2 linked regions of the Oreochromis niloticus genome follow. The protein of the gene in region 1 binds, or shares a complex with, the protein of each later gene. Links are inferred from orthologs where the notes say so. Each region holds a gene or a part of one and is shown on either strand. Other genes may lie near its edges. The genes, in order: ush1c and anks4b.

Region 1 (10,303 bases):
ACATCTTGAGGCCGAAGACTGGGTGTTCGCTTGCTTTGCTGCTCCCTCGTAGCTTGATTTCAGCAGCTGCCAGCCAGTCTTTAAATATCTCACTCTCTGCATTGTTTCAGGCACTTTAGTGGAAAGGGCAACAACAGACACGACCGAGCTAGCTTTAGCTGCGCCAACGGTTACGGCTAACTTAGCAAATGTGACCGCTGAAGAACCGGGTCATGATATTTTCATCAGTCTAAGTCAATACCATACTCTGCGCTCTCTCCTCATACTGTAATATACGGTTGTATATTGTACCGAGGAGCGGTACAATTTGTCATAGCTGTGAGGACGCATGCGCAAAGAAGCAAACCGTTGAACTTCCAGGTCCAATATTACGTCAACAACGGAAACCGACACGTTTATCATTTTTGTAGAAATGAAAGTCACTTTCTAACTTACTAACTTTGAAACTCAATAAGCTCTGTACCTGAACATAATACTAATATTATTATTTATTTATTAGTTTCAATTTCATGTATATATGACTGTAAATTCCATGGCAAAGATACTAAACTATATTACCTTTTAAAAAAAGACCCCAAAAGATTACATTTTATGATTTGCATGTTTGCATTTCCCCCCTCTAATTTTCCTCATTTCTGACACATTTGATGTATAGTTGTATAAAACAAAACGAATATACGAATAATTCTTTTTTTTTTTTTTACATATTTTTTCTTGATTATTTGCATTTAGTTTTACAGAAACTTTACTTAATTTTATCTGAGTTATGATAACCAGTAGCAAGCTTTGTTTAATTTTTACCTACTTCAGTTAGGTTACTGTCATTCTCCTTTACGCCTTTGTGCAACCCACCTCCACCTTTCATCACTCAAACTCCATTCAAGCCACCTTCATCTCGGCTCCAGGGGGTCCTGCTCTAATCCCTTTCACAGCCAGGGTCCATTCCGCTGAGACAGGCCATCGGTGTCTAACCGTCTATATTCTGTTCATCAATACATCATCTTCACTCTTTCTACTGATCTCTCCTTATTGAAATGGTTATACAGTATGTAACACATTAATAAGCATAAATTCTTATATGTCATATTTTTAAAAATACATGATTTTAAAAGTAAAAATAAATGTATATTCAGTAAACTTTGAATAGTATGTACTTGTTTTGAATAAAGGTTACACATTTGATGTGGAACATGAACGTCTGTTCCATGATCCCATGACATCCAACATTCATCTGTATATGAAAATTAAATAAAAAATTGCCCAATTTAAAAAATAAAAATGACAACCATTTGGTTGTCACAGTAAAAAAAAATTCAAAGCTGCATCTTTTTAAATTAAATATAAAGAACTGATTGCACACTGATTTAAAATAACGGTCAACGATTTTTATTGGTCCAAAGCACAAAATATCAATAACATTTAGTCTAGTTTTCTAAAATAAAAACAGCAGAATAAGCAACCATAACAGATAAACACAGCTACACATTACAGAAAATATCAGAGCATTATCCTCAGCTGTATCTTAGCTCATTTTCAAGTCCATAGATTTTTGCCTTCAGAGCCATCAGCTCGCCCTGAACCTTTTTGGTCCTGGCATTGGTTTGTCGTACTTCATGAAGGATGGCTAAGTCCTGGTTGGGCCCCACATTCAAGGTAACCTGATGAAAAGAGAATCTCCCAGTCAATACTTAGTAAAATGTGATTTTGGACATGAGCAAGGTGGAAAAATTGAAGGAAGACGAGTGAAAGTTTTGCTTAACTTTGTTTTGCATTAAAATTAAAGTAATTCACAGTGCTTATAATATGTAAAAACAAGCACAGGCATGCTGAGATCAAAAAATAACTTTCTAACAAAAATCAATTGGTCACACAGTTTGGATCTTTTTACCTTCAGAAGCTGTTTTTCTACATCTTTGAGTTTCTGTCTGAGGAGTTTAAGGTCCGCCTTGAAGCCCTCCACCTCCATCACCCTCCTCTTCTCCAATGCCTCATAACGCTGAGTCATCAGCTGGAGGCGCTTGGCCATTTTCTCTGAACGCTCCTGCACACAGAAGCAAGGTATCAGTAAAAAGAAACTTGGTGATTGCCATCAATATCAGATACCATTTAATCAGAGATGTGTATAAGGCTTGTACAGACTAAACCATCAATCAAACTGGTGTACCTTGAATATTTCCCTGCCCACATCCCCTTCCTCTCTGATTTGGGACAGTTCTGTTTCAAAAGTAATGCACTGCTCCCTGTACATGTCTGCCAGACGGTTGGCTTGCTTCAGCTCCTCCTGCAATATCTGTTTGAAAAAAGAATAAAGAAAAAACAAGAGACTACAATGAACTTGCCAAAAAACTGTGATTTATTCTGAGGGCATTTATAAAAGGCATTTATACAACCCTATAAAATGGAATCAGGAAAGACTTTCATGAACACAAACAAATAGTTAATGTTACCTTTAGCTCCTCTTTGTGTGGCTGATCTGACTCTGACTGAGGCTGAGGGAGGGCTGTGCTGCTGCTGTGCTGCCACGTTCGCCCCGACTCAGTGCCGACACCCCTGGCCTTCCTAAGACGGCTGTGGCAGGAGTCCAGTTCCCTCAGCAGGCGATCCTTCTCTACCATCCAGCTCTTCTCATTAGCTCGTGTGTCAAACTTTAGCTGTAAAAAATCTCTGGTGCTCTCATGCAACAGGTTCTGAGTTTGCTGGAGTCTGACATGTCAAAGGAGATAAATTTAAGTAAATCTGGAAATTTAATGTCAGCCACAGTGATATCACTTCAAAAAGAAGAGAAATGTCTAGAGCTTTGTTTTACAAACAGCTATAAGTCACAATAATAAATACCTAAAAATACAGACAACATAAACTACATAAACTATAAGACTAACTTGTCAGTCAGAGCAGCGATGCGGTCCTGGTCTCTCTGCCGCTGTGCCTCGGCCTCCTCTGTTTTAATCTTTCGATCCTCCAGCAGAGCGTCCACTTGCTCTTTGGCCAGGCGAGTCTGCTCTTCCATTTGAGCCTGCAACGCCTCCACCTGGAGACATGTGCCACAAAATGTAAACACAAGACGCACAAGAGAAAGAAATGTTTAACTTTCTGTAACAGATCATATAAATGAAATCCCATTTCATGCATACATAAAGTGGGCCCATACCTGTAGCAACAATGTCTGTTTCTCATTGTTGTACTGTTCCAAGCTCTCTCCATTTTCCCTATCTGCAAATTTTGTTCTCCTGCCACTCTCTGCTTAAATATAAAATCAAAATGGCATGGTCATTACAAAAGGCTAGTTTAAATACATAAGTAGTGATGACTTGATTAAAAAACAAACAAACAAACAAACCACAACACAAATAAAATACATTCACATTTTCTTGAATAATCAGACAAAATAAACTAATATTATTTGTAGTAAATATTTTTTCAAACCTTTCCTGGTTGCAGCAGGTCTCAACTTTGTTGGCCTAAGACTGAGATTTTCCTCCAATCTGGACTCTGGGTACCTCTGTGAGATAGTGACCTGAAATATAGCAATAATAGTAGTACAACAGTATTTTTAACTACTCTGGGAGCTTCAATGTTATAACCCTAAATAACTGCCTGACTGCATTACCAAGATAACAGCCAAACAGAGGCTTGCTTTTAGAAGGACTTTGGTAATATCATTAAAAATGCTGTAGTTCTGTTTAGCTGCACCAGTCAATCCAACGTATCTTACTGAGATTATAATTTGAGTTCAAAGCATCGACTGAGAAAATGACCTACGATGATGTAAGCACGCACCTTGTGAGGAGGTTCCCGGTGGAAATATGTAATCTCTCCTGTGTCAGGACCCACAAGACCAAGAAGGTGTTGGATTTTCTTCCTGTCCTCCAGCTCTCTGTAAAACAGTGGCTAGATGGTAATAAAGTTTTATACACAGAAGCAACAACAGATAATGGTGGTAACAAGTTATTAAGATATCAAATGCTACACACCTACTGCTATCAGTCAAGAATAACTTGTATAGCCTTCTACTTTCTTAAAGAAATATGTTAACATAAAATACTGGTTTTAAATGATTAGAAATATGTAGAAAAAAAAATACTTGGTTAGTTGCAGTAAGCCAGATGGTAAAGTAAATCATCACTATTAACAGAATAGTAATCATTCTCTGCAGGCACTGTGACTCACTTTTATCAATATTTAATGCTATACTTAAGGTTGAACTGTACACCTACCTGATCTTTAATCTGTCGTTTTCTGCATAAAGCCGCAGAGACTGCTCTCTCTCTTGGAAAAGGTAGACCTGCATGTCACTCAGAGCACTCTGAAGCTCTGCAATCTCTCCTTCGCGCTGTCGTATTTCCCACTGTAGCTTATGCTTTCAGGGTGTTATGAAGGGAGGCAAGATTAGTTAGGCAAAGATTCTTTGGCACAAATGGCTTAAAATCAAAGCCTCTCACATTGACTCCCATCTCTCACCTGATCTTCAGTGAGGCTTTTATACTTTTCCAGCATCTGCAGCAGCTCCAAGTGCTCGCTATCAAACTGGGCAATCTTCTGTCTGTAGAACTCCAGAAGCTCTCTGGATGGACGCAGTTGCGCCAGACGCTCGTGAATAGGGGGGAGTGGCGAGTCAAGCTCCTGACCCGGGGTACGAATATTAGTCCTGTTGGGTGAAAAACAGAAAAAGAAAACAAAGAACATGAACCATTTCAAAGATGATGATACTGGCATACAATTTACATTTGGGGACTGAAGACTCACACTTTGGTTGTAACTGTATCAGCTACAATACCACAGCACTTTACCCATGACATATAAACTGCGTAAAGGATTACCCAAGAATTTAAACCCATTTAGGTAATAACGCTTAATCCATGTGGGATGAGTCTGTAACAGTAGGGGAACCAGACTGTCACAATAAATCCAAGTATCATTTAGGGAGATTAGAGTAAAAAGCATTACTTTGGCTCACTCTGTGCTATGGCAACATAAGTTCAGCGTTCAGCGTGTCAAATGTATGTTCTTTACCTGTGTGGTGTTGCATGTTTCTTTGGGGACCCCATCCTGTTGCAGACACTGTAAACAAAATGGAAAATACATATAAAGATGTTTAAAAGGTTTATATGAATAATCAGTTGTTTTTAAATCATGAGCACTTAAAATAGTTTTGTGGTCTTAATATCCACATACTTTAAGCGTCCAATTATGTAAAGAACTTTAACGGAGTCAGCAGAATAGATATAATTATACAAATAGTGAAACATTTACAGCATTAGAAAAAAATAAACACTTCTTGTATTAGGAGTTGGTGGACAAGCAAAAATATTACCTTTTGCAGTATTTCCAATTATTATGACACGTTACATAACCGGTGAATACGTCAACTAAAAGAACTTCTAGAGTGGCATTTTGCAATAATTGTGAAAAGGTAACACTATCTGGATTGCAGAGCTAACAGGGTAATTTATATCAGTCGTATATTTCGGTTACCGCAGACTGGGCGGTAGGGGGAGCGGGACTTTTGAAACCAGTCCGCTATTCTTGCAGAGGGATAATTTAACGCTTTAAACCCATATTAAACTGCCACGTCAATGATTCAGTTGGGCATAAAGAACTTTTACTTCACATAAAAAATAATCTATAAAAAAGAGCATGTCGTAGCAAAATAAGTCGCTATTAAGTATGTTTTATGTTTCATGGTGATGAATTCATGAGAAATAAGAAATGTCATATCATACAGCGCACCATTATAGCTGTCGTACGTTTATCCAGGCTTTCTTTTCGCTTAAATACTTCTGAATTTTACTCACCCGTCACAACTTTAAACAGTCTAGCAGCGCCGCGGTGTTGTTCTTTTGAAACCAGGAAGTTACCGCCCCTTTTTCTTCTTCGTAGGAAACTCAGCCGCAACAGACGTTATTTTGCCACCTAGCGACCGTAGCGACAAAAAATAAAAAATTAAATATAATATTTTATTATCATGAATATATTTATAAAAAAAAATATGATGACGTGTATGTTTTTTAAATTTATGTATTTATTCAATCAATCATTTATGTATTTGTTTGATTATCAACAAATTAATCAGACTTAGCAAGAAGTCCAAGCTACACAGTGAACCCTTCAAAATAAAGGTCTTAATTATAAATTTGAGCTTGAAATAAAGTGTACAGCAATTATATTTTGTGGATAATATGTTTTTAAATGTTAAAAGCGACTATATTTACAACAAAGACCGCTTTAATTTTGACGAATAAGCATATTACTATAACATTTTTAACCGGAAGCTCTGATTGCAGTCCTACTACCTTGACGTATTGACCTCCGGCCGCGTCCCGTCAAACTTGACCAACGCTGAGATCTCACGTCGGACCGTTTTGTGGTGTTTCTCAACAATGGAGCGGAAAGTTGCTCGAGAATTTAGGCACAAGGTATGATAAAAATAACAACATTTTTTTTTTAACTATCCTAACATGAATTAACTGGATGTTAAATGAAGCTCTTTTTTTTTTTACCTGGTTGTCTTTTCGCTGGCTGGCTCAGGTGTCTGCCGGTGAGATGTTGCGTAGACAGGCCTGCCCGACAAAGCGACGAATAAAAAAAACAAAAAAACTCAACTTTTATTTGAACAGTAATTCAAACATATCATTAAGAAATAAAGTTGCTGTTTGTTTTTAATGTTGTTGTAGTAGATTAACGGGTTTTTATTTAGCTGAAACATCTGCTTCTAATCTCATCTGTTGCCCAAGTGAAACGAGTGTCGGAGGATTTTGTCTTTTTGGTGACACTTAATTCTCTTTGCGCAATTTTCCATACTTTAAAGCCTTAAGAGGTTGCTGTAGGACAGCTTTCCTCCCTGATTGGTACCTTATTCTTACTCAGGTAAAAGTTACACAGCAGAGGTCACTATAGTCAACAAGCAGTATAAAATGTTATTAGGAGTCAGGATTCATTCATGCAGTGAATCAGCTTGAAATTATACTTTGATGTGTGGGTGGTGTTGACTACTTCCCCCAGAAAGTCATCAGCAGCAAAGATAACAGATGAAGAGAACACGATATGTTCAAGGCTTTTTCATCCCCAGAGCATGTAGGGATCACCTCACAGCCATCTGTGCTGCACGCAGGCAAGCAGAGTCCCATATTGTAGGCTCTCCACAAAGGGCGCTTTAGCATTAGATAATGTGTCAGATACGAGCAGCTAAGCGGAAGAGATGCGACAATTTACGGGTTTAATTAGAGGCTGAGTGGTGAATGATGCACAAATGGGCTTTGTTTCTGTTTGCGACACTGTCTTAATTGTTTGGTTGAGGATGTTTGTCAGTTGTATGGTCTGATTCACCTGAAAATTGGATTATTGTGCAATTTTATTGTGTTTTTATTTGCATAAAAGTCACACATTTTTATTCTGTAGGTACTACATTGTGACAGAGAAGCTCACTGTATGAAAACAGTTCTGATCTTTAAACCAGAAATGCTTATCTGCCTAACAAGTTATCTATACTTTACTGGTTTATGGTGCCAAGGTCCATGTGGCTCACTCTGCAGGAAAAAGAGAAGTTTATGACCATCATAAACACCGTTCACACACCCTGTGTGGCTCAGTGGTTCTGCCTTAACTTTAACCCCTGCAGAAATGGTCCTCGGAGGGTGTGTGCTCTATGATGCCTGTTCTTTAATTTGAGGTCTGATTATTCAACATGAGGCGTGCATGTGTGAATGTTTACCTCTTTTTGAGATGTAAGGTGACACTCCTGACCTTCCTACTGCAGCCTCTCCTCATCCCTGTGGCCATTATTTCCTCCCAGGGGTTTGGTGGTTAGACATGGGCAGCCCATTTCACGTTTAGCACATGGACCCTCATCATCCAGGGATTTATCTGAACTTTAATGTCTTAGAAAGTGAGGCTTTCAGCTTATTATAGGAGAGATTTTGCTGGAAACAGATAGTGAAATGTGTTATATCAGCGACTGGCCCAAACGGTTCCTTAAAACTATCCTGCTGCAACTGAACCGTCATCAGGTTTGTATGACTTGGGGACACACACACACACACACACACACACACACACACACACACACACACAGGGGGCTCACCCCCTGTAGCTGACAGGAAAACAGGGGAGAGATACGGTGTGTTTCAGGGGGCTTAATGATGAAGGATGGTACCAGATGCTTGTGTTTTCTTGCAGGTGGAGTTGCTGATTGAAAATGAAGCAGAAAAGGATTACCTGTATGACGTCCTCCGCATGTATCACCAGTGAGTACCATCTGTCACTGCTCAGCATGTCTACAGAGTGTGTGTTGTATTTCCTCACTGATTTTTCACACATTATGACTAAAACATTGATGATTATGGAATAGATTATGTCCTTAAATAACTTTGCACAACTATAGCCAAAAAGGGTTACAACAAAGAAACTGTAGACACGTATGGGTCTTTGTAGTATTTGTATAGATTTAATTACAAAAAACATCTTCTTGTGCTTCTGTATGTTTTCTCTAGCTTTAAACATTTTCATGAATAATATTTAGGAGCCATTAATCTTGTCCCTGACAGTTTTAATGCACGCAGACCTCTGGTTCAGATCCTCCCTGGGTCGTGTTTTTTGATGAAAATGTGGTCCTGGATGGCATGAGAGGGGGAAGGGATAGGTCTAGGTTTCAATTAATCTTTGTACAGAGGCACAGTCCTGTGACCCTATTGGTTAAGCCTCTGATCAGTTTCCACTGAGCTCCGACAAGCCTGGCCAGTTATCAACAAAAGCTCTTTTTATGTTCAACCTCCAAATGGAGCTAAAATGGCACATATTAATTATTCAAAAGGAAGGTGACCTGGAAGAATTTCATACCATAGCATTTACTTTGCTGCTTTAATTGCTGTTCCAATTGCCCTTTATCCTAAAATAAAAAAAATACTCAAAGGTACATTTGGATGTTTTCTGAAGTTTTTTTATTATGAGGAAAAATGCCTGTGGCTCTAGAGAGATTGCTGTGCTAACCCTGATAAATTGCATCAGTTGGTGCAGAAGGTAAAGTGCAAACATTTTAAAAATCGGGTGTGTAGACTCTGATAGAGGTGAGATTTTCATCTCCTTGTCAATGTCAAGGGAAAAATCCCACACGGATCAGGAAAAGAGTCTGGTTCCTAAACTGACCCACCTGCACTCCAGACATATCATGCTTTTAAAACCATTTGGCATATTATGAAACAAAAATGACTAAGCACTAGCTCTTTGAAAAAAAACAATTAAATATGAGTTTAAATAATTATCTATATTTTGCACAGCATCCCAGCCTTTTTGGAAATCACTTTTTTGCAGACTTTCTCATATTGTTTGATTTTCAAGGGGAGCTGTCACCGTTTTGTAATTGCCTAAATTAGCAGATCTGGTAAATTGTTGTGAAACCACTAATTATCCTTCTCTCACTTTCCAGGTCGATGGATTTGCGAGTGTTGGTGGGAGACCTAAAGCTGGTAATTAACGAACCAAAGCGTCTCCCCTTGTTTGACGCCATCCGACCTCTCATCCCTCTCAAGCACCAGGTGGAGTATGACTTGCTCACCCCCAAGAGGTCAAGGTGAGTACAACATGGTTATTTATTGCCTTTCTAGCATGCAGTTACTGACCCTGGCATGCATTTACCTTATATTAGCTTTCATTGGCTTGTACATCTTGCTTTATATTTTCTCACCTGATGTGTGCAGGAAGCTAAAAGAGGTGCGTTTGGATCGGACCAATCGCGATGGTCTAGGTCTGAGCGTCCGAGGAGGGCTTGAGTTTGGCTGTGGTCTTTATATATCCCAGATTATAAAAGATGGACAAGCTGATAATGTGGGCCTACAGGTACTATAATTATAATTTATGCTTGTTTCTACAGATTTTTTTATGCTTTAAAAAAATATATAGACCGGGGTTACAGCACTATTTACGAATCTATCCACATGTGGAATAATTATATCTCTTTATAATGGGGGTGGATTTAATATTCCTAGTTCTAGTCGAATACAAACAGAAAATGTCAGTAAAAGAATAAACTTAAATTCGATTAGTGCTTATTTTTTCCATTTAATCTTATGGTAGCACCAGTGGTAGCACTGGTGTTTGCCAGTATTTTTTTGTTTTGTCATATATATGTACCATTGTACTTACTTAATCTATTTTTTTTACATGTTTTTGTGCCTTAGCTTTTTTATAACTGTTATAACAAAATAACTACTTACTACTGAGACCTTTGATAATGGTGATCATTTTGGGCCTAATCAAATACAAGAATCTATAATCTGAGATTTAAAATTTTAACTGAATACTTTTCTTTTCT
Region 2 (11,109 bases), on another chromosome or scaffold:
GCTCACCAATCACTACTCATCAGTCTTCTGGAGGGACTTTGTTTTTTAAAGCAGCAATGAACTACATTTTATCTGGCATGTAATGATCTAAGCAAAACACAATTAAAGAAATCAGTATTGTTTCTCAATCTTTATTATTCCCTGGTTATAACAATAATTTAAAACCCACAAACACTGTAATGTTTATTTAAACAAAATTAGAAAATCTGCGTTTTGGTTTGGTTTTTTTCTTGTAAATGAGTCAAGATGATATCAGATAAGAACTGGATGTAAACAAAGTTCATTTTGTATAATATAAAAAGCAAAATTGTAAAGCTTTAATAAAAAAAAACAAAATAAAAAAAAAAACAGTTGGAGCTGTTTTTCCTAACTGCTACCAAAAGTAAGTGACAACTGGCAGAGGAGCTGAAATCTGGTAAATGTGTCACTTGGCTAGAGTACTGATAGTACAATAAAAGGTCTAAGTGCTGCGGTGTTAAAGGGAAGCGCCTCTCTTGGTTATAACCAAGACGTATAGAGAGAAAAACTAGTTTAACAACAACAGCAGCAGGAGGAGTGGATCAACTGTCAACTGGCATCAAGTTGAAAGGCAGCATTAACTGTCATTTACCACATTAGAGAGAGAGAAAATACTGTGAATCACTGCGATCCTTTACAAGTTTACACTACTTGCAGGGAACTGATAGAAATAATGGAAGACATCTGTGTGAAAGGAAAAGTGTGCACATCGAACACTGTGATATTGAAAACCGTAGAAAAAACTCTGTGCATCAAGTGTTTGTGTAGATCAACAGTCACTGAATAATTACAAAGTAAAAAAAAAATTAAACATCGACAACATAAAAAAAAGTGCAAACTGCAGCTCTTTAGAGTGAGACTGGCTTCAAAAGAGTCAAAACCCTGTAACCTTTGATGTTAAAATGCCCAGCTTTACAACAAAAATAAACGTGTTTACAACCTGATACAATTTCTTTTTGTCTTTATAACCTGTTAGCCTCAGTCTTTATAGCTTCACATGGTTGCTTTCTTATATAAACTTTACAAAAGCTCAAAAGTAAGAGGTGTGGCCACGCTGAGTTACAGGTACGTGCCGACACAGATGTCTGCTCGGCTTAACCAGCTTTTGTGGCCTTGGTGTCTTTTGTTGTGTAATAATCTCACCAGTAGTAAACTATCAAAGCTCAAAAAACCACCAAAACTTGATAACAACAACATTTTAGCAGCCAAAACCTTAAAATGCTGAGCCCAAAGCTAATCAGTGGTTGATAGTGGCTCCATCCACGTTTTATATTCAGTCTATGGGGGAAACAAACCTAATTCCTGCAGTGAGGAAATATTATACTCTGAGTGGTTTCATGAACACACCGTAAGAATCAGAAGCTACAGCTTTTGCAGTCAGAAGATCACAAAACAAGCCAATTTGAGAGAATTTGTGTGTAGGTGTTAGTCGTTGTACTCCACCACCAGCAACATAATGATGGTATGTTCTTTGGAAGAATACTGTTTATCCCTTTAAAGGTCCAAAGACTTGATGAAAATACATGCACAACTAAGATTTTTAGCTTGTTTTTTTCCTTTAATTTGTCACCCGTCTGTATATCAGTTCATACAGTTTTGTTTTTTTTTCATAATGCATTACGTTCAGAGGCACTTGGTACCTACAACTACTGCAGCATGTGCAGACACATATTCACTGTGCTTTTCCCTCAATTTATATTAAATTAATTTAATGAGGTTTCCATCTTGCAGGATTTCACAACTGGATAAATTCACAGTTAAAAACTTAAGTGTATGTAAAGAATGGTCCAGTGGTTTAGATTAAGCCAGCAGTAAACTTATCATCACGTGCAATAAAGCTCAAACATTAAGTAAAAGTCTTAAATTGAAATACACTTTTTCAAATTCATATGAAAATGTAAAGACAAATATCATTCATCTCCTATAGTGAAATATGAAACTACAGCAGCCTCATGACAAAAACTGGGACCAGGGGAAAGCAGCTAGTCTGGCACATTGATTTGAACCAGTAATTTCTTAAAAAGCATGTATATTTCCACGAGAGCTGTATCAGTCTTTCAGTGCAACCAGGATCATCTCTCAGGAAGAGGGCAAACAGGTGTATTTGTGTGTGCTTTTGCCTAAACTGTTTAAAAATAAATCAGCACCTGACAGAGAGCTTATTTTTTAACAGTAGAAAGTTCAGCTCTTTAAAAGGTGTTCTTTTTCCTTTTGTCTTTTCAAACAGTTACTCAATATAGGACCTGTTTAACTCACCTCACACTAGAAGATATTATACAGCAAACCAAACTAATAAATGATGTCTGTATGTTTTTCTTTGTCACATAAACTCAGTTAACTTTAGTCCCTGCAGGACCATGCTGAACCAAGAGAAATGCACCAGTGGAGAGGATGTGTATGCACAGATGTTCGCAGTTAAAGGTTAACAACAGCAATAATTAAACCCCCTCTGGTTATGTTATATAATTTGGGAATGGAATAGGAATGTGGGGCTCCCAAGGCACCAATGCGGGCTCATATTATTGTGCCTATGCGACGGAAACAATTCATAATGTTAGTAATAGCATCAGCAGGCTTTTAAACCTACTGAGGATGAGTGCACTGATGGTTTGCTGTGTTCAGGTAGCCGTCTTCAGTGCTTCAGTTTCTTGTTCATGCCCATGATTCTGAAGGTCACTGCAGCGATCTTCTCATACACAACAAACATGAGGGCAGCCGTCAGTACCGTCTGTAGCAGCTTGGCTTCCAGGCCTTTGTACAAACCGAGAGCGCCGTGCTTCCTGCGATAAACACGGGTATACAACTGTGACCACTGCTACATATTCACACATGTGCTTGTTGTGAGTCGAGTGAGTAGATAGTGCAATTTTAGAGATGCTGCACTCACTTGATCCGGTCCATGAGCAGGAACAAAATGTTAGAAAGGCTCCCCATCACACCACCACCCTTGGCGTCACTTTTATACTGGCCAAACTGATTAAAAAAAAAAAAAAAGCATAAAACAAGTGATCCATGTGTAGTAAAAATTCAATATCATTTACCAGTATGCATATTGGCTATGAGTGTTTGACGGTATTAACCATATAAAGATGCTCTGGTTTCTTTAAATTTTTCTATAAATACACACTCACCGGCCACTTTGTTAAACCGGTTCATCTGCTGATCAATAGAAATATCTAATCATCCAATCACATTGCAGCAACCCAGCTAATTTAGGGATATAGTGAAGTTGCTGCTGAGCATCAGAATGGGAAAGAAATGTGATTTAAGTGACTTTGAATGTAGCATGGTTTTTAGTACCAGGCGTTCTTATCTACTGGGACCGGATCTGAAATTTTTTCCCTAATAAAGTTTCTGGGGAGTGTACACAAAATTAAGTCAGATTTACAGAATGTTGTGTCACCGACTCAGCCAAGAGTTCCACTTTAGTTTTTAGTTTTTGAGGAAACATAATTTTGGCCTGTGTAAGAGTGTGATAGATGGCTTTTGGCACACATAAAATTACAGATACAATTTGTAGTTGTTTTTGTCTGTTCACTGAATTTTCTGTCATTGCAAAAATGTTGAACTTCATCAGCCTAATCTTTGAAAAACAGAATACAGGAATGACATTTTCCGTATTAGAGTACTTACCCTCAGTATGGCCTGAACTGTCTGCAGAGGATACGTGGCAGTGGTAGCGATGGCCTTGGCAATGGCTCCAATGAGAAAAATCTTTGCCGAGGATATCTGTGGTAAAAGATGAACTTTCACAGGTCAGGTGACTGATCGCTAAACAGGGTCCTGGCTGATCACAGCCCTTCAGCTATGTAATGACAGGATGCTGACTGATTAGCTTCAATAATGCAATATTGTATACATCACTTGCTCTCTTCTTACCTTCCTCCCTCCTCTGCCTGCCTTCCTCTTCATGGCCTCATAAATCATGAACTGCACAGCAGGGTTGAGGACGAGGACGAGAGAGGGCAAAGTGCCGTTCCACAGAGTTCCCACCCCCTCGTTGGCTATGATCTGTGAGAAAGCATCTGAAAGAAGCAGTGAGGTTTGAAAATCATACAGACACGAGACAAGCACGTCAGAAGTTTTGACCTATTTAACGGATATGAAGGACGCACCAAATATGCCTTTGTAGTGAGTCTGGTGGAGGTCTTCGTTTCTGAACTTTACCCCCTGCATCTTCAGTCGAGTGTTGACCACCCACATGGGAGTGGTCAGGATCACATTCACCACTCCTACATGAACAAGAGATATTCAAGTTTCTTGAATCCACAAACCAGAGGATAATATCACCATCTTTTTCATACAATCTGTGGGATACATACATGCAAACGTTTCACACACAAATCCAGGATTCATCCATTCAATCCAGGCATCTGTCACACAGTCACTCCCTCCACTTTTGAAAAGTTTGCCTACAGGCTTCTCTATTAATTGGACACCTTGGATCCATTTAAGTCTTTCAGATAATTTCCATCAGGTCAGTACTTACCTGACACAATTCCAATGAGCAAGTCTTTCCCAGGTCTGGACTGGCCTGGACCAGATGCCATCATCTTCTTCAGCGAGTTAAACGTGTAGAAGTAGACAAAATTGGAGCAGCAAAGGCTGGAGATAACTGGGAACCAGCCTCTGTATAGTGACAGACTGGGAGAGGTGGTGAAGAGGCATTTGAGTAGTGAGTTTTTAGTCATGTGGCCAAAACATCATCCTAAACCCTGGATTAGATTACAGCTGCAGCTTCCAATTATTTTCATTATCTGTTTATATCTGTAATTACCTTGTTCTTTTGGTTCATAACATTTGGTTAAATTATAAATGTGGTCAAATAAGAGCAAAACAAGGCTTAATTTGTGTAATTTCTAACCAGAAGCCTCAGTGATTTTAAATTCCCAAACTATACGTACAAGCCTTCTTCCTTTGCTATCTCAGCCAGAATGACTGGAGTTGAGTTCGACTTTCTCTTCTCATCCACTGAAAAACAAACACAAATATGCCAGAAATCACATAATGAGTCTCTGGACAATGATTTGACACACAAAGATCAGTTTAACTGCGTTATCTCAGCTTGTGGAATGTAAAAGAGTGGAAGCAGAAAGGCATGACACACCTTTTTATGCCTTATATAGAGCTTTGCAATAAAAAAAAGACACGTGAAACAACATAAACAGAAATGGATTGTTTATGAGGTAAAATAAAAACTACATTTATCAGTGCACTACTCTTTGGGATGCAGTTACAGTTGCTCTATAATGACCCCAGCGTTAAACTCTTTCAACTCTGCAGTTTATCAGGTAACCTCTGTCCAAGATGATAAAGCCCCCCAGCTCACCCTGGAGTCTGCTTTTGGCCGTGTCCAGAGGAAAGAAGACGGTCATAGCTGTCACACTCCCCTAAAAAGACAATGCATTGCAACATTAACATCCATACTGACACCTGAAAACACAACAACATCTAACACCATTGTTCAGCTTAAAGTGGTTTCTTCAACACCATGCTATCCTGCTATTAGAAGGATAATACCCCAACCCCCATAAAAAATAAATAAATAAGAAACAAAGCTACTCACCATTGCACCTGCCACAGCATGAACCAGCGTCTCATAGGATAGGAGGCCGACAGCCGAGCCACCGTTGTCGGACATCTCTGCAGGCTCTCCCCGGTCCAACCACACAAGCTAAACACCGGGAAGTAACTGCCGTGAACCCAATGGAAGGTGTCCGGGTTTTCCGAACAGTGGAAACGTTTTAAACAATAATTATTCACAACTTCATGTTACAAGAAGCTGAAAAGCGACAAGAAACAGAAACCAAAGAAGAGAGAGGAAAACTGTCAGATTGGGTTCACTCTCTTCTGGTCGGGGGGATAGTTCCTCCCAACATGCCGCTGATTGGACAGTTTCTTCTTCTTCTTTTGTTGACTCTTCTGTCGGTTCTGTTTCTTCTTCTTCTGTTTTTGGTAAACCATTAACTTTAGCAGAGTTTATGAGCCACCTACTGGACTGGAAGGAGATGTGGTGCAAAAACTATATGGGATTTTACAGCCCTTATTTGCGGCAGGTCACCACACCATGTGTGATTTTCCAGATTTTTCCTGACACAACCTCAAAGGGACAGACTTAGATATCGTAATCATCTAGATATGACAACACATATCTAGATGTCTAAAAGACTTACAGTAATGCTTTTTTTTAGTACACTTATGTAAAATACATATACTCAAATGCTGGACTTTATCTGGGCTTGTACACATACACTACTGTTACTTCACATCACTAGTTTCTCCAATTCATTTCATGGAGAAATGTCTCTTTTTAACGCTAAGCTCTAAGGATGAGCTCCCATGATGAATATAATATCTTGTAAAAAGAAAACTATCCTGCAATATTATTTTGAACCTAAACAAATAGCAAAATTAGAACATGTGACTAATCAGCCGTTTTTAAAAAAGTAAAGAAAACAATTGAATTGCATGTATAAAAAAAATGAAAGTGTACCTTGATTAAATATTCATCTTGCTAAAACAGTTTACAAACAAAACAATAAATGAATTTATCAAGAAAATAGATTAACATATGATTTAAATAATCACAAGCTGTTTGCAATAATTAATATTAAAAAATACTTTATTTTTCCTGATTCTTATTACCTTTGATACTTTAAGTATAGTGTGGTTATGTACTTTTGCTGTAATTAATGACCTATATTAACAATATAGATATTAAAAATATCTAATTAGATTAGATGGATAAATAGAGTGAGCAATAATTTGTTAATAATAGCTTTACTTATGTATTATACTTAAGACAGTTTTTAGGTATAAATGCTTTAAGTTAAAAAGTTAAATGTTCCAAGTTTTAAGTTGATTCAGGGTAACAGAGGGAGTTGATGTTTCTTTTTACACTTTTAAATACTTTTCTACAAATTACAGAATAAAAATGTATCATAAAAAACATCATCTTACAAATGTTGATGAAACATTTAGAGTTTTAACGAGCTAAAACCTAAAAAAAACTAGAAACAACAGATAATGTTCCATTGTCATTTTACTGGGCATTCTGGTCTACAACAATATATTATTCTTTCATAAAGATTGCTTTTGTCTTCAAACTTGTGAAGAAATAGTGATTACAGCAGAAACTCCTGCTGTGTGTGAACATGTTTTCCGGGTGAAATCGCAGAAAGTGATTTTTTATAGTGTTGAGGAAATGGGGCGGCTCACAGCAGTGAAGCGAACTTTGCTTTTGTTTTATGGCCCCGAGCTGCTGGTGCGTTGACGCCCAGTCATCACTTTGTTTGCTTGGTTCTGCAGTCGCTTCTGCTCATCTGACGTTAGCCAGGGGGGGCGCAGAGAAACCTAGATTTTTATTTTTCTCCAAGCTTTTCCCTTCTTACCAGAGATGTCTAGGTACCACAAAGCAGCGACTGATGGATACGTGGAACTCTTGAAGGAGGCCACGGTGAAGGACCTGAACACCCCGGATGAGGATGGCATGACTCCCACCATACTGGCTGCTTTTCATGGACATATCAGTGCTCTTCAGCTCATATGCAGCAGAAAGTAAGCTTTCTATTGCCTGTCCTTCATCTCACATCCTACACTGAGACAAAAACACAGAACGACCTGAACATATGAGTTCTCTTCAAGTGTTTTCTTCAGCCTGTGTAATTTTTCTGTAATTTATAAAGAAAACATGCAGTTAGACATAAATCTTTACATTTAAATAGATTATATTTTATAAAACCAAATAAGATTAAGATCTACAGTGGAACCAGGAACAGTGCTCACAGAGCAAAGGTTGACCAGCATGAAATAAAGTGTGTTTTATGCTTTCTCATACGTACTTTGTTTGTTTTTGGCACTTCATCTGAATTTTTTCGACAGCTATTGTTCACTCCATTTTAATGAGCTAAGACTTTATTTCCCATTAGCTGAGCCAAAAGTTTAACCAGCCCAATCCATCCCACAAAAACAAAAGAGCTGTTCATCCAGGCCGCGCCACCACCACCACCACCACCGCCGCCGCTACTCCCCTTGTACCTCCGTTCCTCTTTCACTACAACCAGGACCATACAAAATCTGTCCCAGTGCTCTTACAGACATTTGAGTTTCAGAGAATACATTAGATTTATTTAATTCTATTTATATTTTAATGGGCACAAAGCGTGTCTTGTCTACGTGGCCAGGATTATCTAAACCATTTCCTCTTTGGTCATTACGCAGCATGAACTGGGATTTATGACAAGGTGTAGCAGTCACACGGCAATCAAAACTTGACAGGGGGGCAGCAGTAAAAGGACTTTAAGTCTTAATAGCTCACCAATTAACTTCACCCATCTTTAATTCGTCATATGGATGTAGATCTATTCTCTGTTTTAATTTTATTTCCTGGACTGACATTTTTTAAATGTCATTTTCATCAGTTTATTATTTTCCCTAAATTCATGACAACTACTATGCATGGAGTTTGGTATAAATCAGGAATACAGAATAGCTAAATAATGAAAATATCATCACTAATGATAAAAAATCTTGTGTGTGTGTTCGTGTTGTACAGAGGAGATCCCAACAGGAGTGACATCTGGGGAAACACACCCCTGCACCATGCAGCAGCTAACGGCCACATGCACATCCTCAGCTTCCTGGTCAACTTCGGCGCCAACCTTTTTGCTCTGGACAATGAATTCCACACGCCAATGGATGTCGCCGCTTCACGCGACCACATGGAGTGTGTGCGCTTCCTCGACGCTGCTGCTGCAAAGCAGACCAACCAAAATCCAAAAAAGGTCGCCAATCTGAAGAAAGAGGCCGAAAAAGAGGCAGAGAAACGCGTGAAACTCTGCGAGAAGGTGAAGAAAAAACACAAGACCAAGATGGATAGAATGCAGCGTGGAAGCAACTCCGGCTCCTTTTCAGATGCAGGAACGGCGTCGCCAATGTCAAACAATGGCACCATCTCGGGCGTCAATGAACAGTTCTCCAAGCTCATCACTGATGATAAAGTTGGCTCTATTAAAGGCACACTCCTGAAGAAGTTTGGGAAGAAGGACAAAGGCACGCTGCAGAGGTCAGAAGGAAGCGGGAACGTTATCTTCCTCAAACCAGAGAGCGGATCTGAGAACCCAGAGTTTGTGGACGTCTTCAACGAGCAGGACGAGAACATGTTAGAAGAAATGGACAGCTTCGGAGATGATGACGACGATGGAGGCCAAGTGAAACAATCCATCTTCAATCGGCCCGGCCTTGGAGGCCTGATGTTCAGGAAGAAGATGGGGCTAGACTCTGACGACATCCCCAGCAGTGCCAATGAAAGCCTTGGTTACCTCGTTCAGAGCGAGCCGTTTGAGGCAGACGAAGACACCTCTGGCTTGATGGCGGGTGACAACACACTGCCGTGGGAACAGGAAGATCTGGGACTGGATGATGATGAAGATGAGGACACCTCTCCTTTGGATGTGTTCCTGTCCTCTATCTCCTTGCCAGATTTTACGCCCGCATTCAACAGAGAGCACCTTGACTTGGAGGCGCTCATGCTTTGCTCTGATGAAGACCTCAAAGGGATCCGCATCCAGCTCGGACCCAGGAAGAAGATCTTGGAAGCTGTTGCTCGGCGAAGAAATGCCCTGGAAAATGCAGGCATCATGAAGGACAGCTCCTTGTGATCTTATACAAAAACAGTTATTTATCCTCCAAATTTAAAATAAGCCTTTTGTCAGTTCGATTTCTGTATAAAACAAACATGATTCAGCAAACTAGTGAAAAATTCCAACATTTCTACAGATTGAACTTTATTGATCGTATTATGACAATATGTTCCGTGTATACCTGTTATATTAAGTTAAAAGTGCCATGACAGCATCAGCCAACAATATCAACAATATCTTATACATCTGGTTTTAAAACAAGAGAAAAAAAGGATAATTATGTGAAAAAAAATAAAGAATAATGAATAATAAAGTGTTGGTATTGACCTGCTGGCTGACTTTCTCCACATATGAGGTGATATGGCACACGGATGATTTGCTTGTGCAGCTGTATGTTTTATTGTAATCATGTCGACCTCAGACAACACACCTGCTAAATAAACAAAACGCGCATGCACGATAGTCTCTCCAGTTTAATATTTCCCAATGGATTTAAAAATTGCCCTGACAGGAACAACAGCAGCTATGAGCACAACAAAAAAGAGAGGAAAGCAAGCACAGGAGCCACAAAATGACTCACAGCAAACACAAGCAGGCAGGCTAAAACTGGTGAACTAGTAAACACAATGAAGTGACCTGAATAGAATAGAATAGAATAGAATAGAATAGAATAGAATAGAATAGTCCTTTAATTGTCCCACAAGGGGAAATTTGGTTGTAAGAGCAGCAAAAAACCACATATACAAACAGAACAGGACACAGGACATAGAACAGAAACACACACAGTTTTTTACATATTTACATCATGGACAATAGTTACCAAAACAGAGTACTGTACAGCTATTAAAGTTAAAGTACAGATAAGTGGCAAACCAGTTGTAGTGTGCAAATGGAGCAGGATACTGAAAGATGTTTAAATAGTTAAGAATATTTAAAATAATTAGAAAAGTTAAGATTGTGTATTGTATCTGTGCATTAAAAAGTAGACATGTAACTTCCAATAAGTTAGTATATAGAAACTGAGAAAAAGTAATGTGCAAGTTATAAAAGTAGTAGTTGTTCAGCTGATTAGTGCAAGTTACAGCGCTGGTGTGAACATCTATGTTTTTGTTGAGAGCAGTTTTGATTGTACAGTCTGACAGCTGCAGGGAGGAAGCACCTATGGAAATGCTCCTTCATGCATCTAGGATGCAGCAGTCTGTCACTGCTGACCAGTGAGTGTATATGTGTATATACAAAGAGCACTGATTAAAGCACTGAAATATTTAGGAGGAGGTGAAAAAAGGGACACACACACACACACACACACACACACACACACACACACACACACACACAGGGAATCACTGCTCAAAACTAAAATAATAAAATGAAGAGAGTAAACCGAAACCCCAAATCACAAAACTCATCACTAGATTAACAAGACAAATGAAGGTCAAAACTGGAAACA

What was found.
Region 2: ush1c (region 1) and anks4b share a complex: the UniProt entries of both Homo sapiens proteins name them as parts of the IMAC/intermicrovillar adhesion complex. The link is inferred for Oreochromis niloticus from reciprocal best matches to the Homo sapiens genes USH1C and ANKS4B.

What each region holds. Positions count from the first base shown.
Region 1 is NC_031972.2:60,243,351-60,253,653, reverse strand, and holds the start of ush1c (harmonin), read left to right. Parts: upstream 1-6,303; 5' UTR 6,304-6,377; coding exon 6,378-6,413; exon of another isoform or gene 6,414-6,424; intron 6,425-8,172; coding exon 8,173-8,240; intron 8,241-9,418; coding exon 9,419-9,562; intron 9,563-9,689; coding exon 9,690-9,828; intron 9,829-10,303. Other genes in the region: hdhd5 (haloacid dehalogenase-like hydrolase domain-containing 5), read right to left, coding at 1-102; ccdc77 (coiled-coil domain-containing protein 77), read right to left, coding at 1,512-1,658, 1,889-2,041, 2,165-2,290, 2,448-2,703, 2,880-3,028, 3,149-3,240, 3,424-3,514, 3,778-3,874 and 3 more. UniProt on the Homo sapiens protein: Anchoring/scaffolding protein that is a part of the functional network formed by USH1C, USH1G, CDH23 and MYO7A that mediates mechanotransduction in cochlear hair cells. Required for normal development and maintenance of cochlear hair cell bundles.
Region 2 is NC_031969.2:19,098,846-19,109,954, forward strand, and holds anks4b (ankyrin repeat and SAM domain-containing protein 4B), read left to right. Parts: upstream 1-7,076; 5' UTR 7,077-7,414; coding exon 7,415-7,575; intron 7,576-8,572; coding exon 8,573-9,677; 3' UTR 9,678-10,117; downstream 10,118-11,109. Other genes in the region: slc25a17l (peroxisomal membrane protein PMP34), read right to left, coding at 2,651-2,798, 2,906-2,991, 3,652-3,747, 3,898-4,043, 4,134-4,250, 4,508-4,662, 4,923-4,989, 5,348-5,408 and 1 more. UniProt on the Homo sapiens protein: As part of the intermicrovillar adhesion complex/IMAC plays a role in epithelial brush border differentiation, controlling microvilli organization and length. Plays a role in assembly of the complex.